4 linked regions of the Caenorhabditis elegans genome follow. The protein of the gene in region 1 interacts with the protein of each later gene in a pairwise test. Each region holds a gene or a part of one and is shown in the gene's direction. Other genes may lie near its edges. The genes, in order: mig-5, abl-1, dsh-1 and lin-36.

Region 1 (6,679 bases):
TCATACGAAAAGTCTTTCCGTTGTTCAAACGGATCGAATTGCAGCACCAGCTGTCAGATCTTCATCAATTTCCAACAAACCATTGTCATATCAAACCAGTGGAAATTCAAATGAGGTAAACCTAGATTTATGATCAATTTGAAAGAAAATATTGGTTCTTTCTTTATAGGAGGATCACTTGAGACTTCCACAACACTCATCATCATCGGAATCGCCACCATCTGAAGGTCCATCGAATAGTGGATTGTTCCGATGGTCATCAAAGGATAAACCGATGACCAGTACTGTCAGCACTGCTAATGGTGTCCGTCTCCCTCCACTGAGCCTACGCCGTCGTACTAACAGTGATCCGAAAAATCGCGATTTCACATCACTGGGCGGCGATGAGTAATACAACTAAATGTGGCAAAGCTTCTTCATTGTTTGAATAATGAAAAACGAATACAAACAACTTTGAAATCAAAACATTAAAACTTACAACATTTCGTTCAATAAAGTATCATCAAAAGAAGAAAACAAAAGCTGAACATGAGAATTTGGGATAAGGAGCAGCAGATCGGAATTATGTGAGAAGCACGCGGAAAACAGGGATATATAAACGGGGTAAACGGGAAAATTTAAGCGTGGCAATCATCTCCTCCAAGTGGCTCTTGCTTGTCAAGTTTGATGAGGTCATCAATACGCAATATCGTAATGGCTGCCTCAGTGGCGAACTTCAGAGACTTGACCTTACTAAGAGCTGGCTCCAAAATTCCAGCCTCCTTGTTATCGCGGATCGTGCCTTCTTCGAGATCCAAACCAGCCCTAAAAAAAGAGTGAATAAACTGACTCAAATTCAGAAAACATGAATTAGACGCTTTTTCTAAGCACAAAACGAAATTTTTTGAAATAAATTATTTTAATTTTATTACATTAAGCTAACATGTAATAACCTACTCTTTAAAAAAAACATTTTCACTTACCACTTGAGGTGTTGAAGTTGTGGGATCAATTGAGCTTTGGAGTGGTACGCGCGGAGTTTTGTCACTAAATCAGTAGAATCTCTTGCAGCATTGCTTGCCAAAACCTTCGGAATGATGAGAAGCGCTGAAGCGAATTCAGCAACAGCAAGCTGCTCGCGAGAAGACAAGGTTTGTGCATAAGTTTCAAGGAAAAGACTGAGAGAAGTCTCAACAGCACCTCCTCCAGCCACAAGTTTCTTGCTTTCCAGAACTCTACGAACAACACAGAGTGAGTCGTGAACCGATCTCTCCATTTCATCGAGCATCACATCGTTCGCTCCACGGAGGATAATGCTGCTGGCAGTACGAGATTTCGGTCCCTTGATGAGAATGAGCTCGTCGTCACTAATTCTTTCTTGAACAATTTCATCGGCATGTCCAAGAAGCGAGGCATCGAAAGCTTCATCTCCTTCCAAAGTAGCCAAGGAAACAGTCAATGTGGCTCCAGTAGCTTTGGCAATTCTCTTCAAGTCTGATTTCTTGCATCGACGAACAGCCATAGCTCCAGATTCGACAAATTGCTTCAAGCACAAATCATCGATACCTCCAGTTGTAAGAACAACGTTGGCTCCGGCTTTCAAAATTTTATCAATGCGGCGTTTGGTAATATCGAATTCTCTGAAAATTCCATAGCTTAAAAAGAAACGAATAGTTTCAACTCACTCTCTGCGAATAGCCTCAAGCTTGGCTGGATCTTCAACAACGACTGAAATACCGAGGTGCATCTTAGCCTTCATCAAAGAGAAATCGAGACATGCGATCTTGGCATTTTGAACACGAAGTGGCATGGCCTGACTGGCAACTGTGCAATTGAGTGCATATCCTTTCACCAAAACTGATTCGCGAGCGCTCTTTCCGTGGGCCTTCAGAACATTGACTGCATTGATAGGATAAGTGACTTTCCCGTTATTTTCCACACGAACAGCTTCCGCGGCATCAACAACCAGCTCTCCGAAGAAATCGGCGTCTCTGAAAAATCAATTTTCTTGAAGCATAGACAACACCAAACTCACGGTCCGATAATCTTACTGCTCATGGAAGTTTTGGCAGCGTTGACAACTGATTGTCTACCAATCGAGTCGGAAGTGAATGAGATGTTTTCACTAATGTACTTGACGGCTTCCTTGCACGCGAGACGGTAACCATTGATAATAGTCGTCGGATGAACTTTTTGTTTCACAAGCTCATCGGCTCTCTTCAAGAGCTCAGCCGCCACAATAACGACAGAAGTAGTTCCATCTCCGACCTCCTCGTCTTGCAGCTGTGCAAGTTCTACAAGCACTTTTCCAGCCGGATGCTCAACCTCGAGTTGTTTCAGAATTGTGGCTCCGTCATTTGTGACAATGACATCTCCAACATCATCGACAAGCATTTTATCAAGTCCGACAGGGCCAAGAGATGACTTCACAATATTGGCGATCGCAACTGCCGCGGTGACTGCAATTAATTAATGTATACTTATATTGAGCTTTCGGTGTTACCATTCTGAGATCTGATGCCTTGTCCAGTAGTTCTTTTACCGGTGAGGGCAAGAATGGAATCTCCAGCTGATGCCATTACCTGAAACACAACCGTATTAACTTAGCAATAGAGTAGGACATTCGATATTGAGTCAAAAAGGGGCTTTGAATAAGCACTCAAAAATAAAAATATACGTAAAAATGAAAATATTTCAGTAAAAATAAAAATGCTTCCAGAAAATCGGGGATCCCTTGAATTCTGAATCAAAATTAAAATTCTTGTAGAATATTCTCAGAGCGCATCGTACTTCATGCATGCTAGAAGGGTAATCGTGCCGAGACCCAACACCAGCTGTCACTAGGGCGTATTTGCAACATTGTTCCCACCCGCGATTTATTGCCGATAAATTAAAAATAAAATTGTTTCCGCTAGTCCTTTGCAAACAAATTTGTTTTTTTTGTTTCCTCTTGTAATTTTTATAAATATTTTATTGGTCTATAATTTAAAATATTGAATTCAGATTTCTAACATTTATGGAGCCGCCATGCACATCAGACTGCAGCCAGATAAAAGTAAGAATTTTGATCAGAATTGTTTTTTATTAAGCCAGTGATTAAACAGAAATAATTTTCTTCCAGGTCTTCTACTATCTCGACGATGAAACGACTCCCTATGTTTCTGTTATTGAAGCCAGAGAAGGAGTAGCGACGCTTGGAAATTTCAAAAATTCATTCACCAAGCGTGGATATAAGTATTATGCGAAGGAACTTGACCCGGATATTCAACGGTGAGTTTTGGCTTTTTTAATTTTTGTAATTATTCTGTACTGAAAAATGTTCAGAGAAGTTAAAGTCGAATTAACAACTGATTCGGATCGGCTGCGCAAATCCCAGAATGGATTTTATGAGATTTTTCTCGTTAGCACTCCAGGATATGGAACTCTTCCTCGAAACAGTGGAACAATGACGCGACCACAGAGAACTGCTCTAGATAAGGTTCGATTTCTGTTATTTTCAAAAAAAACTGATATTTTAAGCGCCGCCGACGAAGTGCAGACTTTGACGCGACTCCGTACTCTGATGCTAGTCTTGCTCCGAGCACCATTGTTAGCAGTGAGTTTTTGCTATTTATGTACTCTTAAAAACCTGTATGAACGTTTTTCAGGAAGAGCAGGAGAGCATCTGGCAGAATTATACACTTCAAATTCAGAGGATCCGTATCAATATGACGAGCATACACGTCGAACAGGAGATGATTCTTCGCTCTACGAACCTCTCGCTGCTCGTGATATGAATAAGATATACGATGACGATAGAAGAAGGAAAAAACAAAAGAAAGAAAGATTCAGAAGACCGTATGTTCCAAGTACTATTAGCTCAGCGACGGAATCAAGTGTTAACAGCGGCCTCCCTCGAATTCTGGAAATTTATCTACCAATGAAAAATGTTCCATATCTGGGACTGAGCGTGTGCACAATTGATGGTCATATATTCGTTTCCGAAATTGCACCAGAAGGTGCCGTTGAAAAAGATGGACGTGTGAACGTTGGTGATCAGATTCTTCAAGTTAATAGAGTATCCTTTGAAGAACTCAGTGGGCCTCAAGCAGTTCGTTCGCTCAGAGAAGCTGCATCCTCCAAAAGGTATTTTTCTACGCATTAGCATTAATTTTTTTTAATTTTTAGACCAATTACTCTTTATATCAGTAAGTTTGCAAGAGGTGCCCCAAGTGAATATGATGATCCACTCGCGTCCATGGCGTCTGAAACGATGCCCCTCGACGTTGGAGTTTGGGTAGAAACCGCTGTGTAAGGGTACCTCGCAAGATTTATTTTCTTAATTTGATACTTACAGGCAGAACACTGAAAAAATGAAAGCTCTGGGTTTGGATCCACAGGAGCAAACGGCAACTACAATTGATGACGGAACTCTTCCATTTACATCGACAGCTTCTGATGATGAGGAGCGAATGCTTTACGATCAACGTAGAAATGGAATTCCAAGAGCTTTGATTGAAGAAGCAGAAAGAAAACGAGAAAATGAGCAAAATGAAAAAATAGAGCAACTCACAGAAATGATTGATCCCATTATTGTTGTTCGTTCTATGGCTCGTCCGGATTCAGGATTAGCTGTCAAAAATCGAAAATGGCTGAAAATTTTGGTTCCAATGTCTTTTATTGGTGAGTACTGAACATTCAAGTATTAGGATCCAAACAATCAACGTTTAGGCCGAGATCTAGTCGATTGGCTCGTTGATCACATGGCTGATATTCATAATCGGAAGAAAGCTAGAATCTATGCTGCGAGATTGTTAGCTGCTGGTCTTATCAGACATGTCGTCAGCAAGTTGACATTCACAGAAAAGTGCTACTATGTATTCGGTGATGGAATTCTTGGCAATGATCGTAATTCCACGGACACCACTGGTACGAGTGGAACTACAATGCGAGTTGAAGCAACTACTGAAGTGACGTATGTTGGCTCACCAGCACCACATGCTCTGGCAGCACGAGTTGGAAGAAATATTCCTCATCGATTAGAAACCACTACTCTAAGCCCAGTTGCTCATGACCAAACATGGCTTCGAAGACGTCGAGATTGTGAGAGTCCTATGACAAATGATTACGCATCGATGGTCGGAGAAAGCCAAATTGGAATGAATCCAGTCGGAAATTATCATGTTTTTGGGACGAAAAATAATCACCGTCAGGTACCGGCACCTTCTCAAGTGACATCCTCAAGCTTGACAAACGGTGAGAAAATTAATCGTTTCTATAGGGTGCAGGAGTTAAATTTGAAGCAAATATTCATTTCAATTGATATAGTATTTGCTGTTTCTTGACTACTGTACCCTTTGTATCCAAATGACTTTTCACATAACAGTATTTCCCCAACCAAATTAGTTACAAATTCCAGGAAGTGGTGGCTTAGGAGGCCCTCCGCCGACTCCTCTATCCAGTACTATGGTTCTAGCAGCTTCTCCGATTCAGTCGCAGAACGCAGTCAACCACGATTTCGACGGGGAGAACAGTAGCAACAGCAGAACGCGTATTTTACGGACTTAAAATTTAAAACTCATTGCCTTTACCGATTCTCGCCTTAATTCCCACATGCTTTATTAATATTTAAAACTATGCCCTGTTTTCATGTATTTCAGTAAGACTAACGTTTTCATTCATTCATGTAATTTTGAGTCTATTTATGAATTATTTTAAATTTCTTCATGACGATGTTCACTTCGAAAAACGATGTGTGATGAAGAAGACTTGGACAGCACCGAAGATAGTTTTAGACATCCATTCCGAGTAGTATGCAGTATCCTTCGTAGTATCCCAGGAGCACATGTTGGCCGTGCAAATTGCAAGATTATCGGTTTTTGCAGAAATAGTACAATGAACCAAAAACTTTTTGCTTCCATTGAGCTTCACTAAATTATCCGAAATTGTTTGGATCATCTTGCTCATCCAATCAGACATTTTGAATGGAGAATATGGAGTTTTACCAATTATTGAATCAAATGATTTTTGAATAATTAAATCAATTTCTTGTTCTTCGGCATTTGAATAGACTTTCTTTTTGAGTTTCTTATTTTTCTTTTCAATCAATTGTCTCAAAAGCTGAGCGTTTTTTGATTCAATTTGCCGCTTTGCTACAGAAGAAGTTGTAGAAGTGTCTAAAATTTCAAATGATGTTGCATAATGTGACAAAGAAAACTAACCTGTCATTTTGAAACAAGGAATGAATGAAATAATTAAAGTTATGCGATAAACATTTGTTTTCTAAATTTGATATATATATTAGAATCTGGTATAAATTTTTTTAACAGTGCGTGTAATTAGAACACGCTCTGAAGGCGAAGTGTTTAGTGCCAATTCAAAATATTACTTACAATTAGACCCGAAAATTTTGCGCTTTTTGTGCCAAAAACACGGTACCTGGTCTCGACACGAAACATTGTTTTTAAATGCAAAAAGGTGTGGGCACAGCATCTCCGACCGGGAGCGAAAAAATTAATTTTATTATAAAATGTGTTGTTAAGTTTTTGTTTTGTTTCCGCGGCTCTGTACCAGATTTTACACTAAAAGTGCACCAGTTTGGAGCACCGGACACACAGAAATTGTGTAATGTTGATGGCGTTCCGTATCCGAAATTGACATGTTTGCAGGGGTCGGTTGAGCTAACAAAGGTGGGTGGTGGAAGACGGAAATACGGTTCGAA
Region 2 (6,423 bases), on another chromosome or scaffold:
AGAAGAAAGGAATAAACTGAAGGAAACCCTCAAAACTCAGCATGATATTTCTGGAAGCAGAAATAATAGTGATAGTGGGATATCTGGTGGAGGAGGAAGCAGTGATAATTTGAGCATCGACGATTTCGAATCTGTTTCGGAGAACCAGTGTGAGGAAAATGTGATACCGGCTATGAACTGAATTTGTACATTGTAATTTTTGTTATTAAATCATATTGAAAATTAAAACAACAACCAAAACGTGTCTTCATAATAAAAACTTTAAAATACTTTTCGAAAATATTTTTTATCAACTCGAAAAAAACTGCGTTTTGCTATTCGGCCCTACACAAAAAAATACTGATGAAAATGAACTATACAAAAATAGAAAAAATAACACACAGATGTGCGTCTCAAAAATTAATTTTAAATAAAAACTTTCAAAAAGTTTTCAAAAATTAAAATATCGGTAATTTCACTCTTTTTCAATTAAAAAAAACATTGTAACTGGAAAACAGAATTTAAATGAGAGGCGACGTTTTTGGGTTTTATAATAAAAAAAATTAAGGTATATGTGTATGCAATTTTAAAAAACCAATAAATTCACTAGATATGTACTACGTCGTTCTTTTCAATCCTGACTTTGTTAGGAATCTCCTTTCCAGAAGTTGTTTCGAATGAACGCAATGGCAAAAATGGAAGGAAAAAAGGAATAATTCGTCCTTTGCATCGACATCTTGTTGTGTTCTTTTTTGTCCCTCTTCATTCTATTGGCGTGTTCGGGATATTATCCTCTCCTCGCCAACCAGCAGCTACTACCAACTTTTTTGTCGATGTTCGTCTTCTCTTGTGTTTTTGTGTGTTCCCATTTAGTTTCAGTTTTTGTTCTGCGCATTTCACAAAACTTTACTATTTTCAAAGTTCTTCGACACGCAAAAAACTCTACAAAAGTTTACTTTCAACTTTTTTTCGTATTTGGATTTATTTTAGCTATTTTTTTTAACGACTGGTTTAAATAAAAATAGGATGGGAGAAATTTTAGTAGACTTAATATGTAAATGTGAAAGAATTTTAGTAGACTTAATATGTAAATGTGTAATTTCCAACAATTAAACGAGGAGAAAAGACGAAAAATAAAAAAAATTATCGAAAATAGAACACTTTGTCACCATCAAAATCACTAACACTAGCAAAATAGCACAGTTTCATAGTCATATTACATATGCATGTTATAACAACAAACCTATTTTCATCTTTTGAAAACCCTACACACAATTCCACTTTTTTATGGAGAAATACAACCACATATAATCTTTTGATTTCAAAAAGTTATTTGTAATTGCCAAGCATTCATTACTTGGAGATCACGTTTTCCAAAACATCTTCGTCAGCAATTATTAAAACTTGGGAGTTTTTTTAAAGAATTATTGTATGCATTAGAGTGCGTTCTTATTGAGTGTTTCAAGTATGGAATTTGTTCTCAATTAACAAATTATTCTTAAACACACAATTTAAAATTAGTGCTTCATGTACAATTATATAGTCCGTGAAACAATGCAAATCTCCAAAAATTTTTAAACTTATTTAAAACTTGATAGGTACTTTTCAGCATATTTTAGTCTAAGGAGCCCTTTTATTGTTTTCAAAATAGTAGGACAGCAATTTTCTAATGAGTTAGAATTCACTCAACCAACCCTCAGAGGCATACCGTACTGTTTCTTCAAAATTTTGATTCTTTTAGTTTTGATTTCCATTTAAAAAATGCGTCAATCTGAATACTACCTATTGTTCAACTTTTCTATTTCAAACTGCATTCCCATACTCTTTCGTCGCTCCAATTTTTATGGGACAAAATTGGCGGGGGTTTTGAGTACCTCCTGGCCTCTCGTCCCATTCTTTGTGATCACACTTTTTGTTTCATTTCACACTTCATCCCCACACTTTCAACCGATACGAATTCGTATCGCAGATTTGTATAAAACATAGCGAAAAAGGAACGGCGACAAGTTTTGATTGGTTTTACAATGCAAAACTTTTTTGTTTATTAATATGTATGGTCTTGTCAATAATTGTTAGATTTTAGATTTGTAATTGACAATTTGTTAATTGGTTTAAAACTATGGTTTTTGCGAATACACAAATATCCGAATAGCATAACTTTTTTTTAATTATTAAATCACCACAATTTTGTAAAACAACTAAAAACTAATTATATCCAGTTTAAACATTATCCATTCATTTCGTATGCATATAAGTTCAATCAGTTCAAAGTATTTGTAGTCTCTACTCCGCGTTTCCAATCTCCTCTAGCTTAGTACTATTTATCTGACAGGAACTGTTGTTATTGTTTGACTAGCGAATAGGCGTTAGTGTTGAACCAAGTGCGCAGTAATAAGCAGTGAACAACGAGTGAGAAGTATGCAAGCGCGCTCTGCTGGTCACTGGATGGGTTATGAGAAAAGAGAGGGCAGCCGGGTACTCGACACATACCTTCACACCAATTGCGCGTCCTTTCTTTTTTCCTCCATGTTCTTTTTTTTTTGTCTTCTTCGATTTTTTCTTTTTATTTCTTTTTTTTAATTCAAGCCAAACTTCATAATTTTCAGGCTTTTCTAACTTTGAAAACATCAAAACATTCTCCCATGTAGGACTTAACAAAAATGTGAGTTCAGTTCATTTCATAATTCTTCTCAAAAACTATAAGGCCATGGTATTTTGTTTATTTTAATTTTACGAACAACATATACTAATAAAGAAGAAAATGTTTTTCAGGGGTCATTCACATAGTACTGGGAAAGAAATCAATGACAATGAACTCTTCACATGTGGTAAGCATTTTGCGCTTGAAAATTGTGAAAATTACTTTTCAACTAAAAACAAATATAATTTCAACATTTGAGTTTGGCATTGGATTTCAAAAAAAAAATTGAATGGTATAATTTCATACCATTTGGAAAAATTCAGCCTTGAAAAATATTAACTTGACGAAACTAATGAATATTTGTTGATTCAAAAGTTTTCCTAAAAAAATGATTATTGTTTGAAACTCATTAAAAAAGTACTGATAAAGTTTACGATTGTTTCTGAAGTATCAGCTTTTGTTTTTCTATTTTTCAAAAAAAGGAAGCTGCTCTCAGTTTTGAAAGAAAATAAGGCGAAATTGTAAAATAAATTATACGTAAAGTATTATAAAACTAATATTTTGTAATTTCTCAGTTTCTCAAAAAAAAAAAGTTCATGTTAAAACATGAAAAACAGTATGTTAAGTTTTATGTATTGTTTTTAACGTTCCTTCTACTTTTCGATGAATTGTCACAATCTCATTCGAAATTGTCTGCCCACAATAAGGCCCTTCGAGTGTAGATGACAGATTCAGAACCGCTCTTAATGCTTTATGCGGTTAGGTTCTCTAATCCTCCAAGTGTTCGGTTCCCTTCGTATTCCCGTTCGCTGTAGATATATGCCGGAGAGGGTGTGGGGAGGGTGAGAGATCCTCTTCTAAAGTCACAAGTAAACGAGACGCGGAAGAAAACGAGAGTAGAGATAGTAATAGCTGGTATGGTGGATTGAAAGAGAGCATGAGTGGAAGACGGGACGCAGACAAACCAAGAGGTCACATCTCCCTTCCCTCGTCCGTCAACTCCCGGTCCCTAGTTTGAGGACAACGCATGCGTGATCCAAATATGGGAGACTATCCAATCAAGTGTATCTTCTCTACTCATCTAGAATAATTAGATCATAATTTTTTACAAACTACAATATTTATAAAATTATACACTTTTAAAAGGTTTAGGCATAATTTATTTGGGAAAGGAAGTTTGGAAGAATAGAAAAAAATGGAATAAATCCAGTTCCTCTCCCCTTTCCCGCTTTGCCGCCTCCCGGCAAAACGTCGCTTCTCCAACTTGTTATTCCAATTCAATAGGTTTCAATGCCATATTCGCAGTTATAAATGCTCGACCCCTATTGACTATTCGCATTTTATTCACTTCACTCCAGTTTTAACTAGATTTACCATTTCCCCCCATCTTTTTTCTCCCTGGGTCAGAGAAGCAGCTGGACTTGTGTTAGTAGTACGACGAATCGCCCTTCTTCTCGTTGACCAATTAGAAAATGTGCTCTGGCACATTTTCCTTTCTGTGTGGGACTGAGAACCACGGGGGACACCCAACCTCCTGTTCTTCATTCTTTCTATCCAATTTTTATGATGGATTTGGTGCGACGCGTATACAATGAATATAAACGTTCGCAAGTCCACACCCATTTTTACAATTCCCTAGACATTGACACGGCATGTGACAATATTGAATAGTTTTGCTAATTTTGTGTTACTCTCGAAGAAACGGCATTGTCTCTGCTTTTTTTGTTATCTGAAAAAATAAAATCAGTTAGGTGTTTCAGTAGAATTTTCAAAAATAATTTACATCAGACAAACCGAGCTGAACAACCAAAATATATCCTAAATCAGATTTGACGAAGTTCAGATCATTGATCTTTTTCATAACGTGATTAAACACAAAACTATAAAAGTTTTATGAAATAGAAAAGAGAATACTAATTTTAAAATCTTCCGGTTCCGGATTTGTGTATGTGTTTGCTTATCAAATCACAGTTCTTACATGTATTTTTTAAGTGAAAAATCTATTAGGTCTCCAAATAAGTTCCGGGTCAAAAATCATAACTTTGTTCTCTGTGTATCGATTTTTATGAAACTTTGGGAATTCATGTTATCAACAATGATCTTTCATTTGACATCAGTCACAAAATTTTTTGTCCACCCCAAGTGTCCTAACTCGGAGCCAATTTTTTCAGGCATTTTTCCTATCTCGCTTCTAAAAGAAGACCTTTGAATTGAGGTTTGTGTGCGGATTTCGCCTTGCTTAAAATACATTATTAGAAAACGACAAAATTTTAGAAAAAAATCCGTCCAAAAAATTTTTTTTTGGTTGGTCGTCAAAAAATGTTCAAAAAAAATTTTGTCGAAAGTTCTAGATTTTCCCTACAAAAATGATGTAAACAAGCGTGAACTATTTTTACACATACAAAACATATCAATTTATTTCGATACACCAAAATGTTAATAGAAAATATAATTTTTTCGGATAATTTTTGAGTTTTTTGAATATTTCTCGAGATTCAAATTTCAAACTAAAACGATTATTATATATTTAAAAAAAATTTTTTGGACGGATTTTTTTCTAAACTTTTGTCGTTTTCTAATAATGTATTTTAAGCAAAGCAAAATCCGCACACAAACCTCAATTCAAAGGTTAAAAGAAGCGAGATAGGAAAAATTCCTGGAAAAATTGGCTCCGAGTTAGGACACTTGAGGTGTACAAAAATTTTTGCGACTATTGTCAAATGAAAGAACATGGTTGATAACATAAATTCCCAAAGTTTCATAAAAATCGATACACAGCGAACAAAGTTATGATTTTTGACCCGGAACTTATTTGGAGACCTAATATAAACCTCGTTTCGAAGTTTTGAAAATTGTATACCGTATTTCTTCTATTAATATGACTGCAATACTATTGTTCGATGGTCTTCCCGCTTGCAATACTAATAGGGAGTGCAAGACTATTAGGGAGTGCAATATTAATTTTCAGAAAATTTTTCTGACTTTGAGCTTTCTGATTTTTTTTCTGAAAAAACTCGAACCTTGTGTGAAAGTGAAAATTTGATTGTAATTGCAACAAAAAGGTACAATAACTTCAATTTCATAAAAATTTTACCACAAATTGTTGCAAAGTAGGCAAAAAATGTTGTTAAAATCTCAAAATTAGTGAGGTGGGTCTGTACCAAAAAAAAAGTAGACGCAATACTATTAGGGAGTGCAACACTAATAGGGAGTGCAATACTAATTTTCGGAGGGTGTTCAAGGAGCAATACTAATAGGGAGTGCAAGTCTAATAGGGAGGCCATATTAATAGAAGAAATACGGTATATATCAAATATGTATTTTTGAAAAATCATCCGAAGAATCCTACTGGTTACTTACAATATATCCATATTTGATAACACATTAAAATCACATTTTAACTCTTCGAAATAATTAATCACAAATCAAATTACTGTTTCAAATAGTGAAAAACCTCCAAAACAAATGAAAAAAAAAGAAAAATACGAGTGCGCATAATTATGGCCCACCCTGTAGCTGCATATTTCAATACAATCAAGTTTTTGAGTTTTGAGGGGACAGGTAACACATGAAGTTTTACTGAATACAAAATTAAGTTTTGAAGGTTGAAAATTCTAATTTGAAAAATAGGAAATTTTATTCCAGTTAACACCTATCCTCAAAGCTTAGTTGCTACTCTAATGGCTAAAAGTTTTTTTCGGCGATGAATGAAAAAAAATTATGCTGTAAAAAAAGGTATATTCAGTTGATTCTAGTTTTTAAAACTTACGTACCTAAAGCATTTATAATATTCCTGTCAAAAA
Region 3 (9,400 bases), 3.0 Mb from region 1:
AGCAATTCCTGGATACTTGAAGAGTGCTGCCTATAATCGACGGTTTCCACAACATTATTTGGGTTAGTTTCTTTTTTGTTTTTTGGAAAACGGGTATATACTCGATTTCAAAAAAAAAACACTTTAAATAGTTCTGCACAATAATCTGTGGGCCTCTCATGCAATCACAAAAGTGCCTAATTACACGTATAGCCAGTTGTCAAGGCTAGTGAGCATTTTTGTGAATGCTTAGATGGCTCAAGGCTTTGTATGGTAAAAAAACAAACATTAGCTTTTGGGGTAATTGAGAAACGGGAAACACGATGAACTTGGTCCCAAGTGTTTCAGAAAAAATTGGAAGAAAAACCTCGTCTCAAAAAGTTCTTAAGAAAGTTCTCGCAAACTTTTACATTGTGTCAGTGAACCCAATAAAACTTCCCCTCATAAAATCTTGATCACATCATTTCAACACTTTCACCCCATCATGTCCTTCCGTTGATTTTCATGTTTTATGTTGGTGTTAATGAGCCGATCTCCCAGATCACTTCTCATAGATCATAAAGAAATGAGAGAGCACAGAGAAAGGACCAATTGTTTCAATTCTATCTTCTGGGCTCATCTTGTTGGCTGGCTGCCAGTCAACCAACCAACACACATTTCAATGAGTGGAGATCTCCTCCTTCTTTGCTTTCATTCAATGTTTATACATACATTTCATTTCATTTCAATTTAATCACACACACACACATACATATCGATGATTTCCCCAGTGTGATTACGTGGAATTAAAATCACATAATTGTGGTTATTACCTGGTAGCTGGGTGTATAAATCAATTGAAATTCTCCCTTTTGTGTACAACTTCTTTTCAAAGTATTTTAGTTCATTGTGTTTTTCTGAAAATTTAATCTGAGGAGCATATTCTCAAATTCTATAAAATTCGTATTTTATAATCTGTTTTAATTTTCCTCCAAATTAGAAATTCATCCAAACTCTCTTTTGTTGAAAATTAAAAAAAAAGTATTTTGTTACTTTTGAAACAAATAGATTATTATTTTCAGGATATCTAGTTGCATTGAAAGGCTACCCAGCTGTTTTATTTCAAAAATTTTTGTTCTGAAATATCTGACAATGACATCTGAAAATGGTAAATTGCGAACAAGTCACAGCTAGTTTAGTTTAGCTTCGACATTAGAGAATAAAAAATTATTAACCAGATACCAAAAATATCTCTTTGCGACCTTAAGAACTGTAGTGTACGGTAGAATTTGTAAGCATTGTTAATTGGAAAAATATGTTCTTTGACATCCAATTCTCGATCTTTTGTAACATTAGTCCTTGAACTTCTCTGTTAGGGGGTCAACCGGGCTCCTTGCTTGCTCCACCACTTTTTGTGAGAAACCGTTCTCTATATCTCTGTGCTCGACGTCAGTGGGAATGAAAACCCGAAGACCGATGAGTTTATCACAGTGTTTATCAAGATGCTTTCCTTCTGTCTCTCTCTCCACTTGAACACTCTTCTCGAGACCTCATACCACTTCACCCCACTTTTAGTTAGTTTTTTTTGTCCGCTCACTTGTCGATTTCTGTGTATGTTTCTACTTGTCACTATTATCGTTTTTGTGTCGAAATAGTCTCTAGTACCCACCCCAGGATCTCATAATATTGCTCTCATTCTCGTTAACACGAAAATAGATATCTGCCTTATAATAGTGAGATCTGTGGTTTTATTTACTTTCGGATATCCCTCACTTGTGATTTCTATCATGATACCTATCGGGATTTTGGGGAGAAAAGACAGTTTGATAATGATCTTTTCTATGCTTTATCCGCTTTTCCTGCCTCCGATCAATGTTTGCTAGCCCATGTGTGTAGGTGGATTCAAACATTTGATTTTATACTTCGTCATCATCAAGAGCCATTGCAACATGTTTCAGTGAGATCAATTTGCAACTCTTTGTTCAACTAGTCATGATGAAAAATTTTCGATCAATATTCTTTAAGCAACTGCCATTTAATCTGACCATAGCAAATTGTGTTTTCCTCTGGATCTCTGCGGTGTTTGACTGTGAGCCATAAGTCAAGTTGCAATTTGTTGATATAAATAACTGATAGTGAGCTCTTGGTTTTAGTTGTCATGTGCCATTTTCCAGCCCACCAGTTGAAGAAATTTGTTAGTTGAGAAATGGTAACACTTATTCTGAAGCTCTTTTGCGAAACGGGGAAAATCTTATTAATTGATAGCCACATAGTTTCGACCGAAACGTATTGAACTATAATTTTAATTTTATTAGATGTATCAGTGAATGTTAACGATTAATTAAATAAAAGTTAAATGAAAGCAAACATTTGTCTTTCAAAATAACATCGAGATTTAAGCGTATAAAAACTTGAGTTTTTTTTAAATTTTTCTACTGTTATGGCTTGAATCTTAACAAACTCATAGACCAATTATATTATATTAAAATTATAATATCTCAATCTTTGCATTTCTCATTATATAGGAATTTATCAATTTTAGATGTCACTATCATAGTCGAGTCAATTGAGATTTAACATGACATATGTCAAGTCCGATTAAAGTTTAACGACAGTGTTTATGGTGTCAACAGGATTATTTTGAGTACCAACTTTCCCGATGTGTCGACTATTAAATTCTCAGTTTCTCTCTAAATTCCCAGCACATGATAAAAGTAAAACGAAAGTATCTGTTTCTAATCCAAGTGCATCATGAGCCACAAGATGGGATGCTGGGAAATTTATGACCCCCCATCGAGGTGTGTTTCTCGTTTCTTTCTCTTCTTTTTATTACCTTCAAGCTTTTTTATTACTTCCCAGCTCTATTACTATCAAAAACTTAAAACCGATTTTCTAGAGAACGACACGATTGCTCATAGCTCACTAGCGAGCAATGAGTATCAAGCTTGGAGCTCGAGATAGAGCCCTTCCATCTCCTTCTGGCTCCTCAAATACCCCATCCACTTCATCTGATATGATTCGCTCATTATTATTCACTTCAAAAGAACGAAAAGTCCGTTCGACATACACGGCTCCTCCACCAAATCGACAACACTCGCCGGGAGTTGTATCACAATTGATTAACAAGATTGAGTTGAAAACGTCACCTACAAATACATCGTCAAGACCAAAAAAGAAGAAAAAGGCTCCACCACTTGCTAAGATTGATGATCTTGATTTGGTTGATGATGAGAAAACTATCGTCTCGGAAGTTGTAAAAAGTCCAAGAAGGAAGAAATATACAGGAAATCCATTAGGAAATTTGAAAATTCTGAACAACATTCTCCCTTCCTCCAAAGCTTCTGATGATAAGGAAAATTCAGGAAGCCAGCAGCAACCAAGTACGGGGAAAAAGTTGAAGAAGAGCAGAAGTAAAAGTCGTGTGGAGCCGGAGTCTGAGGCACCATTTCGATTAAAACGGACTTTAACTGATCTCACAAATAATCATACACCTGCCGGATCCACATGGCGACAGATGGTCTCAAATGCGCTCGGTGGTCCACTTAAAAAACGGCTCAGCGAGGGGGCTCTCCTGTTTCCCGGCACCAGCAAAGCATCAGATGATTGTAACGACGAAGAGGGGGATAATACTAAGACGACAACGAAGCGCAGATTTTTACAACGACGGAAACAAAGCGAAAAAAGTGCAGGAGGCGCCAACGGAAAAGAGTCCGGTGGTGGTTCCGCCTCTTCATCGTTTTTTGGAGCTCTTATCAGATTGTCCCACTCGGCTGCAAGTTTAACGTCTTTAACTTCACTTGGTGGTTCAAAATCTCGGTCTGCATCTCCATCACCATCAAGTTCTCGATCTAATACTAAAGAATTCAAAGAGAATCTGAGCCCACCTCAGCCACCACCACCGGATCTCATTGCACCAGCTGCAGCATTAGCCAGACCAACTTTTTCCCTTGCGGCTCCTGATTCCCCTGTTTCACTTGCTCCGCCATCTAGGGAGCTCAGAAAATCCAAAACGTGTCAAATAACCACCGATCGTCCACCTATTATTCCTAGTATTACTATATCTGAAAGTCGAAGTTTGAACCGAATCGATAGGTGTCGGCCGGTCACTGTAGATGGAAGTGGTCTATCATCTGATTGCCGACCTCTTGTTTCACGAAGAAGCACAATGAGCCGTACAATGTCACTGATTCCAACTAGTCCATCGCTTCCGCCACTTTATGAGGAAGAAACAGCAAGTACAGCGGCAATGGTGGAAGAGGAGAGAGCGGATCGAGCACAGAAGCGCAGAATGCGAAGGTACGGCGGATCAAATACAACAAGTACTTATCAAGGAAGGAAAGATGTTGCACCGGATGCTTCGCCGAGAAGACATCTTATTGGATTTCTACATAGGACGTCACATCTATCCTTAACCTCTGAACTTAGTGCAGATGCATCGTTTTATTTGATCGGTAGGTAAATGATGGCGAAAAATGATGTGATCAAGTAAAGGGTAATAGGTTCAAAAAACAAAATCTTATGAAAATTTGAAAAAGCATCGAATTCTAAGTTTTCTTAAATTCCAGGGCACCGACGACATCTCGAAGAATCAACAATTGGCTCCGAATCCGATGCAAGAGTATTTTCAGATGATGATGATAGGTATGTTTTTTTTTTTAATTTTATAAACATAGGTTTCATTTCATTGAATTTTTATGTAAAGCCAGTACTCTGGTGACAGTGTTCCTTTCAAAATTTAGTGTATTTTATTCGGCAAATTTTTATTTATAAAAAATTAAAGCAAAAGTTTAAGTTATAATAGGGCTACATTCAGGTCTTGCAGGGCTATCTCAAGGAATATGCAACATTGAAAAAAATTTACATTCAAAATATAACAACTCATAAAAACAAAACCAAGTTTACGAATAGGCAATACCCCTTTGAAATTTTAAATTTTAAATATTTTCAAAAATTCGATGGTTTTCATTTTGCCTCTCAAATAGTTAATACCTTTTTTTGTGTCTTCTCTGTCTGTCACATAAAGTGACAAATGACTAGGCTTAAAGCGGGCCTTCATCCCCGCTCACTCTGCCCCCAATGATTTCGCCCTTCCGCTCCTCAAATAGTGAAATGAGCGGCTACATAACTGACGATGATTTCGCAAGCTCTGATGGTAAAGCCTATTATTCAACAACTTCCACTTCAACTTCTGATTATTACTATGCAATTGGAACAGCTCCGCCGAGCAGCACGGGTGCCACAACTCGCGACGTGTCAGTTCATTTATTCTGCGATAAGACACAGCTCGTTAAATTTGAGCAATTCCTGCTTGGCGCTTATCTTCTAGCTAAAGCCTGGTAGTGACTATCACAACAAGCTCTTAGTGTTGTGCACTATTTGAAGGAAACTAATAAAAATTGGGGAGGGGAAGAAAAGGACGTGAGAACGGGTGGAAAGAGATGGATGAGAAGTGGATAATTGCTTTCGATAAATCTTTCAGTTCTTTTCGGATTTTGTGGAACAAACTTCTAGGTTGTAACTTTAAGGAATTTGAACATTTTGTTTTGTGCAGTGCTCCGCTTATATTTAGAATTTCACGGAACACAATTCTCATTAGTTTTCCTTTTTTAGCTAGTGAAAACCATGTAAAATTTTAGTTGATAACGTTCAAAGTTACTCACGAGTTGCAAAAATCACTGAAAACCACAGTAAGATTTTCAAAAAATTATGAAATTTTTATTTACAGTCCAAAATGGAAATTAACCAGTTTTCGCTTATCATAAATTAATAATTCGATTTTAAAAAATTTCTACAGTTTTTTTTTAAATTTTAAAATCATTTGTATTTATTTTGTGGGGCATCGAATATGCAAAGCTTCTTTAAGTTTCTCAATAAGACTCAATTTTCAAAAGTTGGACTGAAAATTCTGAAAAATCTATAACAATTTCAACTATAAAACGTTCAATTTTTCAGAGGCTCTACAACAACCGATTTCACATCAGTATCCCGACAACATGAAAAAATGGCAAAGAAAAAGAAGAATAAAAGAAATTTCCGAAAACCCTCTAGAGCATCTTCGTTTTCAAGTATCACAGGTATGACCTCTTCGAAATTAGCATAACTTTTACCATTCGAATTCCAGAGTCCTCTATGAGCCTTGATGTAATAACAGTGAACCTCAATATGGATACAGTCAATTTCCTTGGCATTTCAATTGTTGGTCAAACTTCTAATTGTGGTGATAATGGAATCTACGTAGCAAATATCATGAAGGGAGGTGCAGTGGCATTGGATGGAAGAATTGAAGCTGGTGATATGATTTTACAAGTCAATGAGACCAGCTTTGAGAATTTCACTAACGATCAAGCTGTTGATGTGTTACGGTAAAAATTATTATTTTTTACTGAGAGCTTATTCTTCAACATATGAATTTTCAGAGAAGCTGTTAGCCGTCGTGGCCCCATCAAATTAACTGTGGCGAAAAGTTTTGAAAATGGGCAAAGTTGTTTCACAATACCAAGGAATAGCAGAGAAGAGCCTGTGAGACCAATCGATACTCAAGCATGGATCCAGCATACGAATGCAATGAGAGGAATGCCAAGTATAGTTGAAGGTATGGTTTTTTGATTGGAAGTGTAGAAAAACTAAACAAAATACCTGCCTGTTATTTGATTGATCTTTTTATTTTTTGCAAAATTATAAGCTGCACTCTCAACCTATTCAACTTCAGGCTGAAATTTATTCAGTGCATTTCTTCGCTACTTTCAAGTTGATGTTTTTCAGACTTCTGATGTTTTAGGATATTTTAAAGTAGAACAACATTTGGAAAGCTTTTTGGAATTTTCAATTTTTTTTTGAAACAAAAATAAAAATATGAAATTTTTCACATCTCTAATTTTGAAGGCTGAATGTAAAATTAAGTCAAACCTTTTTTCTGCACCAAAATTTTGAAAACAGGTAGGCAGGCAGGAAGACAGCCTCGATGTTGTTTTTTGTTCTTCTTCTACGTTATTCTCCTACAAATATCTATTAATTAAAAAATTTTTTCCAGAAAGTGCACCGACACCAATTCCTGGTGAATGGCCTCATGGTCGACCGCCAAGCAGCTCAACGGTGACCTCAAACGGATCAAATGGTCAAAATACAGTAGTCGGCGGCGGAGCTCATATTATTCTTGATATACACACTGACAAAAAGAAGGTTGTCGAAATAATGGCTATGCCTGGCTCTGGTCTTGATATCAAAAATCGAACATGGCTCAAAATTCCGATTCCCATGTCGTTCTTGGGTAAGTTTTGAATGAACGTGTAGAGCCTATTCTAATTCTCAATTTTAGGATCTGATCTGGTCGAATGGCTTTTGGATCATGTTGAAGGGCTTCGAGAACGGAAGACAGCACGAAACTTTGCGGCGGATTTACTGAAATTAAAGTATATTGCACATGTGGTGAACAAGGTCACATTCACTGAGCAGTGCTATTATGTCCTTGGAGATGAGTGTTCAGGTAGGAAAGTATACATTTATTCGGAAAATGTCAAAGTTTTTGTATATGAAGATGGAAGTGGGTCTTTTGAAATCTTTAATGCAATTTTTTTGAACTGAAATGTTAAAAATTTGTTTTAAAAAATTATTTTTTTCAAATTATATTTTTAAAACAAATTTTTCACTGATGCACAAAAATGTCTGCCTGTAATCTCCATAGGAATGCAAAAAAGTTGGTTGCATTCAAGGCTGCCCTGCCTGATTCAAAACATGAAATTCAACCCTTCTTGTTATATCTTCTAAATTACTTCCAGACTATGCCCGATTCCGAAATGAAGATGGTGGACCCAAATACCAATGGACCATCGGAATGAACGGAATGTCTGCTGGCAACGGAAGCTCTGTGATGCTCCCACCCCCACATTTACCTGGAGGTATGGCTGGCCCTCCTGGAGCTTTTAAAGGGATGGCTCCGTCAATGGTAAGCGACGGCGAATCGCGCATGTATGTAATGCACATTTAGAATGTCATCATTTTTCTTCATGTTTATGTTTCATTATGTCTGGTAATCAATGCCAAAATGGCATAATTCAAAATAGTTTCTCTCACAGTACACCATGTACCCGGTATTACAATAAGTTCTAATTTAATATTTTGTAACTTCTAAGTCTCCAATCATGAATCAAAATTTCATATGTTCCCGGTGATTGTAATTTTGGATGTTTTTCCTTTATTTGATTATTCTATTTTTGAATCTGTCCGTCGATTTTTTGTTGCATTTCCTTCTCAAATTCACACGAATTGCGATCTTCTTCACGAGTTCCCCACATCCTTGTCTGAAATAGATGCACCCTATACTAAGAAAAAAAACGTCTTGTTTTCTATTGCATTTGCCCTAAAATTATTGTTTATATTCGATATCATTGTTATTTTCTCGCCCCCTCATTTCTCAGTAGCATGTAAATGTATCAGTCCAATGTTGCCACCCACAAGAATGACAGAATAATAAATAATATTCTGAATCAAAAGAATGTTGTTATATTTCACACCACACGAACATTGCAAAGTGAGAAATATATTATTTGAAAAATATATAAACAGGTAAGTGGATATGCATCAATGCCGGCTTCACCATTCCCACCAGCTCAATTGCAGCAACAGAGAAGAGAAGGAAGTACAACCAGTGGAAGTAGTGGCGGTGGAATTAGAAAACAGTGAGTTTTTCCACTATAAACATACAAAGAAATTTTTGTATTTTGTAAAGATATATAGCTTTTTTAAACATTTTCAAGAAAAAAATAAAATTCAAAACCACACCAAAAGAACTTGTTTCTTAAGTTGGAAAAAAGTGAAAAGTGTGAGGCACTGGAAATTTAAAAACTTTCGTCTGAATTTCTCTGACTTCAAAAGTTCCAATTTTATATAACACGGTAGACTCTAACATTTTTGACATAGTTTTTCGAAATAACTCCCAATATAATTTTAAAATATTTCAGACGAGTTGTTGTTCTTCCCAGAAAACCATCATCGTCTGCAAATGTTCCATTTGATGATAGTTCTACAATCTATGAAGAATCAAATAATTCATTTCTTATGGCAACTGGACAAAGATACGAGTATTAACTGTTAATATTAATTCAATGTTTTGGTGCTTACTTTTTGAGCTGTATAAAAACTGTTATTTATTCAAGATTTTTGCTTATCCGCCGCCTTCTTAATTCTTGTCGCGAAGGCGGTTCAGTGGAATGCTTATTTATAAACTTCATTTATTAACAATACTTTATTTATATATTATCATTAGCAAATGGAGTTCACTTGAGTAAATTCAAAACTGATGTTTCTTCCACAATTTCCTCCTTATATAGACATCGGATATGACTTTTCACGTAAAGGTAGCAAAGGTTGTTCCACGGTGTTATTGGCAGTTCAATTGCATCCTTTTGATCCTAGAGTTCCTGTGTGAAAGGGTTTCCTTTGTTGT
Region 4 (7,998 bases), on another chromosome or scaffold:
TGTACTGAGTTTTGATGCTTCATAAAGTAGAAAAAGTATGCGAGATTGGTTTTATTCAAAAAAAACTCTTGTAGTAGTAGTGATATGGATGGCATGTTGGTTGTTTTGTTGGCAATAGAGAAATTGGCAGAACGACGGAAGAGGGTTTAGAGGCCATTTTTACACTGTTTTGAGCCCGCCTGAGTGAGCATTAAACACTGAATAGTGTGTAAGATGAAGATACGCAGAGTTGCACACGGACTTGATCAGTGAAATCGGGGGAGGAGAAGGAAGGGATCCGAGAGATTTTAGACTTGAGAAGTGAAGATAGGTTTTTGGAAAATTGACACCTGGAAATTTAAGATTCATGCATGAACATTTACGCGAGCTACAATTTATTGTAACTTGATTAAACCATGAAACAATTTTTTTACAAATGCTTCCCTAGAGAGGCCGGATATTAAAAGTACAGATGGCAGAAAACTTTCATTTGTGTGAGTACGGTAGTCTGATTGTTTGTTATTGAGTTTAAGAATTTTTCACTATTTGTTTTTTAATGTGTTTCTTGTCTTTGGGGGTTTAAGTCGACTCCCAATAAGAAGTTATACCGTAATCGCTTTTATGAAGAGATGTCTAATGACTTGTCATCTTTGAAATCTTTTGCTCGTGCTAAGTATTGTATTCAGACGAATAATACATTATAATTTTCGAAAAATGTAATCACTTCACAAGCCAGGGCAAGAATTGCGCTTCTGTATGAGCTGTCACCAGATTATGATTTTTAATTGTGTACGGAAGAAAAATTGAGAGCATCTTAAGAGGAAGATGCATCTTCTGAAATAATTTTTCTAAATAAAAATCAGAATTATTTTTCAGCATTCCACCCAGATTACGTGTCTGTTATAATCGTTTCTGGAAGACATTCTATTAGATACCGTACCCCGAAAACTAGAAATCCTATTTCTAGTTTTCGGGGTACGGTATCTAATAGAATATGAGTACCTGAGTAAACATCACTTACTATACGCATATGTTTGCTCAAGCTTCTACTATACCTGAACCTAGAGAAAACTGTCTTCCGTTCGATTTAATTTGGCAACGAAATGTTCCAAGCTTATGATGTTCCCGTTGTAATTAATTAATTCCCCTGCTTTAAATCACTTATTGTTAACGAATATGTACTTCTCAAACTCCTGGTGTTATCTCCGTGGTATTTTGGATAAATTGGTGTCAATCATTTATACAAATGACCTGTCTCCATATTGATATCATCAATTCAACGTCCCTCCAGTTCCAAGTCGCTTGTTCGGCGAGAGAGCGTAGCAAACGGAGAGACGTCATAGAAAAAGTACGCAACCGCGCGTGGCGGTGTTTGCGTACATCAGATGAGTGGGAGCCAGAATTGTACAAAAATTGGCCGGACAATTATCGATTTTTACACTTTCGACTCATTTTTCACTTATTATCAATGTTTTTCGTTATTATTTGTATCTCTTGAGCGTTTTAAACAATTAAATTCACTGTATTTTCTGTTTTTGTGCTCAAAATGTGTAGAATTTGCAAAAGAAAGGCTTTTCCAAAAATATTTGATTGCAGGAAATGTCGGAAGAATTGCTGAGTACTAGACCCAGTAAAAGGGATTATAATGATATTGAAGAACCAGAAGACTCACACGTGACGGTGCACTCAGTTGAACAGGTATGGTGATAATTGAGAAACATTCTCGCCGCTTATGAATATCAATGCATTTTTAGGATTCACAGCATTCTGGTGAAGAATCCTCAACTGTAGACGCATTGCAGGAAACTGAGGGTGATGTTGACGTAATAGGAGAAGATGAGGACGAACACGATGTACGTTTACATTTTCATTCTCGTATTAATGCATGTGCCCATTGGCCGGAATAGAATACATCATTTTATTTTCAGATTCCCGTAATGCCAACTGTCACATCAAGTGGTGAAGTTCTTGATGAAAGCCAAGTCACTCCAACTAAACAAGCTTCGTCGTCACAACCAAGAGAAGAAATTATCCACGGCAAAGGCGAAAGTGTCTACTCCAGTTTTCCGTGCCAAGTTATTCCGGAGACTTTAAGCCGAATGACACGAACTCCGCCAGATGGAGAGCATTTAGAAGTGTACCGGATGTCAAATGGGAGACTGAGAATATATGTTGTTGATCATTTCAAGAAGTTTTCTCCATACTCCAATTTGACTCATAAGCCATGTACAGTTTGTAATCGAGTAATGAAATCGGGAGAGATGCATCTAAACTTCCCAGCAGACTTGGATAGGCGCAGAATTTGGGCAAATTTGCTTGGATTCAAATACAAAGATATTCTTCGCAGTAAAATGGGTCCTGTATCGTTTTCAATTGCTGCCGGTCCAATTTGTACTGAGCACTTCGCCGAGGAGTGCTTCAGGAATCACAATTTCAACAAATCTGCCATCGAAGCTTTTGGAGTTCCTGTTGCTATTTCACCAGACGTTAAGACGACACCGAGTAAAAAAAGGTAAGAAGAAAAGCTGGTTCTGCTCGAAACGAAAAAGCTTGTGAATGAATATGTTAGCTCGATTTTTGGCTAAAACATCCTCTTTCACGATTTTATAAAAGTTCCAGAGTGCCATGGGTCTGTACCGTATGTGAGTTCCACTCGTGCAGTGTTGTCGAGCTTCAGACACATCTTCTCAATCACACGGAGGAAATGCTCAAGAAAAAAGATAATGTTTTGGATGTAAGTTCAAGCTTTTTAGTTAATACTCTTATTTTATCACATAATTCTTATAACAAAAATTAATATTTTTCACAGGTCCCAGAAGCTGGCTTCATGTGCCCATTCTGTAGAAAATGCACATATGGTTACAAGACAATATCTGGATATCGTCGTCACTTGAATGCTGGCCCCATTCATCATTGTCATCTTCGTAGAATATATGAATTCGCTAAAATGAACTGCCGCGCTACTGAGTTGGATCCAGCGGAAAGCTGGGATAACTGGACTCGTCGCAACGTTTATGTGGCATATCACGGCTGTGAACCACCAGCAAATGAAATCGTACTCACACCTTCACCAACGAAAAAAGCCTACGTGCAAAATCCAGAAGAGCGTACGAAAATGGTTCACGATGAAGAGAAGAGAAAGAAGGCAGTGAGGACATTATCGTTTGTTGGAAAAGAAGGTGGTACAAGTGTGAATGATCTGAACGTAATGCAGCGACAAGTGTTTCTGCAATTGAGAAGAGAAGCAGAGATTAATACAAAAGCAGAAGAATCGGCTCAAGGAACGAAGGAGCAAGAGAGCAGTCAGAAAAAACATGCAGAAGAAGAGTCAGACGATGTTTCTGAACTGTAAGTTTTGTCAAAAAATGTTCGAGTTAGAGAACATCCTGCGTAACGAAATTTAAAAAATCTTACTAAATGGAAATCAAAGAAGCAATTAAATTTTTTAGAACTTCCCATCAGTCTCCACAAGCTCCAATGGGATCTGGTGAACGACGTAAAGCAACACGTCTCGCAACTTCCGCTACAAATTCACCAATCAAGAAGGTGGCAAAACACGAAGTTCCTGCTACAGCTCCATCAACTCCAGCTAAGAAACGGAAAATTTCACACGAAGAAGAACACGATCCAACTCCTGAAAGTGTAGAGAGAGAACCAACAGTTTCACCAAATGATCCACGTGAACGTCTTCGTTTGAAGGAACGAGATGAACAATTTGCCAAAATGGTTCAGAAAAGATCTCAGCAAGTTAAGCGATTGATCAATGCCAAACAATTCAAGAAACAAGAAGCAGCAACGAAGAAGCCGAGAAAGGCCTTGGCTTATAATTTGGCCAAAGGGATCGCTGCTACTTCTTCGGTGAGTTTTATTTACTGAATTTATTAAATAATAGATTAGAACTTAATTTGTAACTTTTGAAATTCCTCTTTTACTTTGTAGCATGTTGAAATTCGAATTACTAGGATAATGTTTTTTATTCAGACGGAGCCAGAAGACAAAGTGACATCTTCGGAGCAGACACCAGAACCGACAACAAGTCAAAAATTTATCGCCAGAAATACACGATCGAAAACTAAGGAGAGTGCTGTTCAAAAAGTTGAAAAACCAGCAACTCCTGTCGCAAAACCGGCACCAGTAGAAAAAGAGCCGGAAGAACGCCCTCTAAAATCAATGCTCGCGAGATCTTTTGTTGCTGGAGTTCGTCCTTCGATGGCTAAATATCAGATTCCATTAGAATCGTTCACAGCTACTGCATCACTTGGTGGAGGACGTTCATTATCTTCTGGAGTCATATCAAGACCACCAACTTCATCCTCTCCTGGCGGGATCTTTTCTCAAAGAGTTATGGGAGCTGTTGCACAAGAAAAAGGGCCTGCTAAGAGACCGGTAAGTTTAATATATTAGAATTATTTATTAGGAGACTTTGATATTTTTTCTAATTTATTGCTTCAGAGTGTGCTCTCCCGAAGACCACTGATCCTTTCACCACGAAAAAAAACATCAACTCCACGACCAACACTCTCCCATCACGAGTCATCGCCAAACTTCTCAGCATCTTCTCCGGTGGTTGTTTCTGATGAGTATCTGATTCCAGCAACGGATATGGAAGTTGAAATGGTCGAAGAAGTCATTGATTCTATGGGAAACTCATCGTCTGAAGATGTTGCCACTTCTTCAACATCTTCCGAGAGGCAACCGATGCTTACGCTGGCAGAGGCTCTTGAGATGGATGGTTCAAGTGGAACAGTTAAAGATCAAGATATGGAAGAAATCTCAAAAGAAATGATGAAAGATGCTCATTACTACAGAGCAATGGAAGACGCTATCAAATGTCGCACCGTGACGAAAATGCGCGCTGACATGAGACTTTCCCGTCATTGCATCCGGCAAATTGAAGCTGCGAGAGCCAGGTGAGCCCATGGGAGGTCTACTTTGATAAATCGTTTAATTTTTTGCAGAGCTCGTCTGTTTGGCGAAAGGACTGAAGATTATCAAATTTTCTACTCTAACGATGGAGCACAAGTGGTATGTTTTTATTAGTTTCAATTCTGAATTTTAGTAACAATTTTCGTTTTTTAAAAGATTTTATTTATGTTGTTCTCAATTTGAAACCATTTGCTTTGAAAAAATTCCGATTGAAACATCAAAAATCACTGATCACAACACAATTTATTTTAAAAACATGTTTTCTCCGCTATTTGGCGTTATCAATCAGTTTGTTTCATTCTTATGATTTTCAGCTCACCAAAAAAGATCCAAAATGGCGTGAACTTCAACAACAACAACAACAACAACAACAGCAGCAAGAACAATTTCCAGGACAAGGATCATCGGATTCTCAACAATAATTATTTTTAATTATCAAAGAAAGTGCCTCAAAATTCAAGATTCAAAAGTCAATTGTCCTTTCGAGGATCGCCCCACATTTCTTTCATGTGAACTATCTCTGTTTTATATCCACAGAAGTTATCCCATTTTACTTTCATTCGAAATTCTTGAAATCTGATAAAAACTCCGACTAGGATAGATTTTCGTCTAGATTTTTAGGATTTTCACATTTACTTTTTTCCCATTTTTTACCCCCCCTCCCCCCTATAATTTACTTTCCAAAATTAATAGTTTGTTTTACTTTCCATAAGCCCCCGCCCCCTCCCCAAAAACCACACTTTTTCTATCATAAATTAATCTGAATTATTCACAAAAAATGAGCCAAAGTCTATTTAAACGTTTCCCTAGTTTTCAATTACATTCAAGTTTGAAAGATATGTGCGTTTGTGTGCCAAATATGACTAAAAGTCAATAAATAAATGATTTTGCTTGGTAGGTTTTTGAAAAGAGTTTTCAGATTATTTTTTCTATAGGCTACCTGATTATCCATAACATTATATTTTGAAAAAACCATGAAAAATTTAAAAAAATCCTAAAATTTAGAATGGCATCACCAGAAGCATCGTCTTCTGGAAATACAGAAGATCTTCGTATCGAAGATTTATTCCATCAAAAACGAAATGAAGATACGATTGCTAAAATATTTTCGATTATTTATGCTCCAGTTGGTGAGATTTTTTTCAAATTTTTTGACACATTCCAAAAAGTAAAAGTTTTAAAAAATCAAAATTTCAGGTTTAATTATTCTTTTAATTCGTGTTTTCCTCGGTTTCCACACATTTATTGTTGCATGTCTACTCAGAAAATCTGCTGCTTTGAGAATGCACACTCTTCGAATTATGTGCTCAATTCTCGGAATTGTCGTTGAAAAATCTGGTCACAGGTTTGTGATTTTTTTTTTGAAAAATATTTGATATCTCCAAAAAAATAGAAACAAGTTACTGAAAAATTGGAAGCTTGCCGTATTGCCCAGGCGCAAATTTTTTTGCGACTTCTGTCCCAAAAGTGAGGTACCTGGTCTCGAAATGACAATTTTTTTGTTAAATACAAAAACATGTGCGCCTTTAAAGAGTACGGTAGCTTTAAAATTTCGTTACTGTGGATTCATTGATTTTTCATAGTTTTTCTTACGATTTTTGTTAAAATCAATGTGTTTTAAGTGTTATTTTAGTTTTAAAAATTTATTTTAACGAAAAAACTTTGAAAAATTGATTTCAAAAATTCCGCAGCAACAAAAGTTCCATATATCCATTTATATTTTACAAAAAAAAAGTTTTTCAAGACCCGGGTGCTGTACTTTTTTTGCAAAATGAAATTCGGTAATTTTTAGTGTATCTAAAAAAAATTAAAAAAAAAAGGTCACTAACTATTCCTTAAAATGTTTTTTGCTTGCCGAGATATTCACAACTTCTTAGTATTAAAAAAAAAAGATTTTCAGAGATGAATCAGCTCGAGTTTTGTGCGCCAATCATGTATCAATTCTTGATCATTTAGCAGTTGATATTCTTACTCCATGCCTTCTTCCATCTGTTTGGGATATTCCATCGATTATTAGATGGTGTTTTGGATATGTAGATTTGGGAGCAACACGTGGAAGAGATCAACTTGTCAGTAGAGCCAAACAACTACTCACCAGAGAACAAATGCCACTTCTCGCATTTCCAGAAGGAATTATTACTAGTGGAGAAAAGGCATTGATCAAGTTTAAGTATGTCATTTGAACTTTCCAAATATTTTGTGATTTCGATTTCAAGATTTTTCAGCTAAAAATATGGTTTGTCACTACAAATTTGTGAAAAAAAATCTAAAAATCTTTTTACGCATTTTCATCAATTTTTCATAGTTTTTTTCATAAAATATAAAATTCACATTTTTAATGAAAAACTATGCAAAATCGATGAAAATTCAGCATAAATTAGGATTTTAAATTACAGTACTCTTTAAAGGCGCACACTTTTTGTCGGATAAAGAATTGTCATGTCAAGACCGGGTACCGTAGTTTTGGCGCAAAAATCATGAATCTCGAACCCAAATCTACTAAATTTTCAGTACTTGGTGTTTCGAGGTGTCTTCAGTAGTTCAACCCGTCTCAGTGCGTGTGTGGCGTCCGTATCCTTGGAAAGTTTCAGTTTCAGTATTGGGTTCTTCATGGTGGACTGATCTTTTCTATTTCTTTGCACTTCCGTTTACTGTTATCACTGTCGAATATCTTCCGAAAATGGAAAGACGAGAGAATGTAAAGAAAAATTGGAATTTCCAAATAAAAACAATTATTTCTAGGAATCACTCGAAGAATTCACCGCCCGAGTTGCCGAAACGTTGGCTGGAAATTTGAAGATTGCAGTGTCAAAGTTTGGAATTTCGGACGCAACAGAAGCAGCAAAACGGCTTAGAACAGATAGAGAACGTGCGAAAAAAGTTGTCGTTAGAGAGAAGGTATTTGTTTCCAATAATTTGTTTTCTTTAAAAAATGAAAATTTTCAAGACTTCACCTAGACTTGCGGATCCTCGTCAAATGGACGAATGTGCAATGAGAATCAAACAATCATTTCCATCATTCCATTTATCTGCAATTCGACGTGATTTGGAGAAAACTCGTAGTCAAACTACAACTGTTAATAATTTGAAAGC

What was found.
Region 2: the proteins of mig-5 (region 1) and abl-1 interact in binary tests that used the Caenorhabditis elegans proteins (3 or more experiments, as listed by UniProt).
Region 3: the proteins of mig-5 (region 1) and dsh-1 interact in a two-hybrid assay, tested with the Caenorhabditis elegans proteins (3 studies listed by BioGRID).
Region 4: the proteins of mig-5 (region 1) and lin-36 interact in a two-hybrid assay, tested with the Caenorhabditis elegans proteins (3 studies listed by BioGRID).

Annotation. Positions count from the first base shown.
Region 1 is NC_003280.10:8,181,325-8,188,003, reverse strand, and holds mig-5 (Segment polarity protein dishevelled homolog mig-5), read left to right. Parts: upstream 1-2,980; 5' UTR 2,981-2,995; coding exon 2,996-3,034; intron 3,035-3,100; coding exon 3,101-3,249; intron 3,250-3,303; coding exon 3,304-3,457; intron 3,458-3,498; coding exon 3,499-3,574; intron 3,575-3,626; coding exon 3,627-4,104; intron 4,105-4,146; coding exon 4,147-4,269; intron 4,270-4,315; coding exon 4,316-4,641; intron 4,642-4,689; coding exon 4,690-5,214; intron 5,215-5,364; coding exon of another isoform or gene 5,365-5,377; coding exon 5,378-5,526; 3' UTR 5,527-5,681; downstream 5,682-6,679. Other genes in the region: T05C12.8 (ANK_REP_REGION domain-containing protein), read left to right, coding at 1-115, 170-391; cct-1 (T-complex protein 1 subunit alpha), read right to left, coding at 618-804, 963-1,619, 1,665-1,970, 2,015-2,438, 2,483-2,558; dylt-3 (DYnein Light chain (Tctex type)), read right to left, coding at 5,695-6,134, 6,180-6,186. UniProt on the Caenorhabditis elegans protein: Plays a role in the signal transduction pathways mediated by multiple Wnt genes. Functions redundantly with other dishevelled family members throughout development.
Region 2 is NC_003284.9:10,620,363-10,626,785, reverse strand, and holds the start of abl-1 (Tyrosine-protein kinase abl-1), read left to right. Parts: upstream 1-2,596; 5' UTR 2,597-2,639; coding exon 2,640-2,641; intron 2,642-2,751; coding exon 2,752-2,807; intron 2,808-4,078; exon of another isoform or gene 4,079-4,203; intron 4,204-6,423. Other genes in the region: M79.2 (Phospholipid/glycerol acyltransferase domain-containing protein), read left to right, coding at 1-181. UniProt on the Caenorhabditis elegans protein: Functions downstream of migratory protein mig-13 and is involved in Q neuroblast migration during larval development.
Region 3 is NC_003280.10:5,214,165-5,223,564, reverse strand, and holds dsh-1 (DiSHevelled related), read left to right. Parts: upstream 1-2,890; coding exon 2,891-4,409; intron 4,410-4,523; coding exon 4,524-4,599; intron 4,600-4,897; exon of another isoform or gene 4,898-5,101; intron 5,102-5,910; coding exon 5,911-6,032; intron 6,033-6,079; coding exon 6,080-6,320; intron 6,321-6,374; coding exon 6,375-6,550; intron 6,551-6,988; coding exon 6,989-7,225; intron 7,226-7,273; coding exon 7,274-7,441; intron 7,442-7,733; coding exon 7,734-7,900; coding exon of another isoform or gene 7,901-7,942; exon of another isoform or gene 7,943-8,445; intron 8,446-8,520; coding exon 8,521-8,633; intron 8,634-8,915; coding exon 8,916-9,042; downstream 9,043-9,400.
Region 4 is NC_003281.10:8,014,451-8,022,448, reverse strand, and holds lin-36 (Protein lin-36), read left to right. Parts: upstream 1-1,575; 5' UTR 1,576-1,578; coding exon 1,579-1,677; intron 1,678-1,733; coding exon 1,734-1,832; intron 1,833-1,907; coding exon 1,908-2,491; intron 2,492-2,592; coding exon 2,593-2,713; intron 2,714-2,788; coding exon 2,789-3,327; intron 3,328-3,428; coding exon 3,429-3,837; intron 3,838-3,960; coding exon 3,961-4,365; intron 4,366-4,431; coding exon 4,432-4,889; intron 4,890-4,937; coding exon 4,938-5,004; intron 5,005-5,219; coding exon 5,220-5,327; 3' UTR 5,328-5,801; downstream 5,802-7,998. Other genes in the region: F44B9.5 (Lipid droplet-regulating VLDL assembly factor AUP1 homolog), read left to right, coding at 5,912-6,035, 6,103-6,250, 6,806-7,075, 7,417-7,603, 7,648-7,803, 7,853-7,998. UniProt on the Caenorhabditis elegans protein: Required to negatively regulate vulval development. Antagonizes Ras-mediated vulval induction. Acts cell autonomously.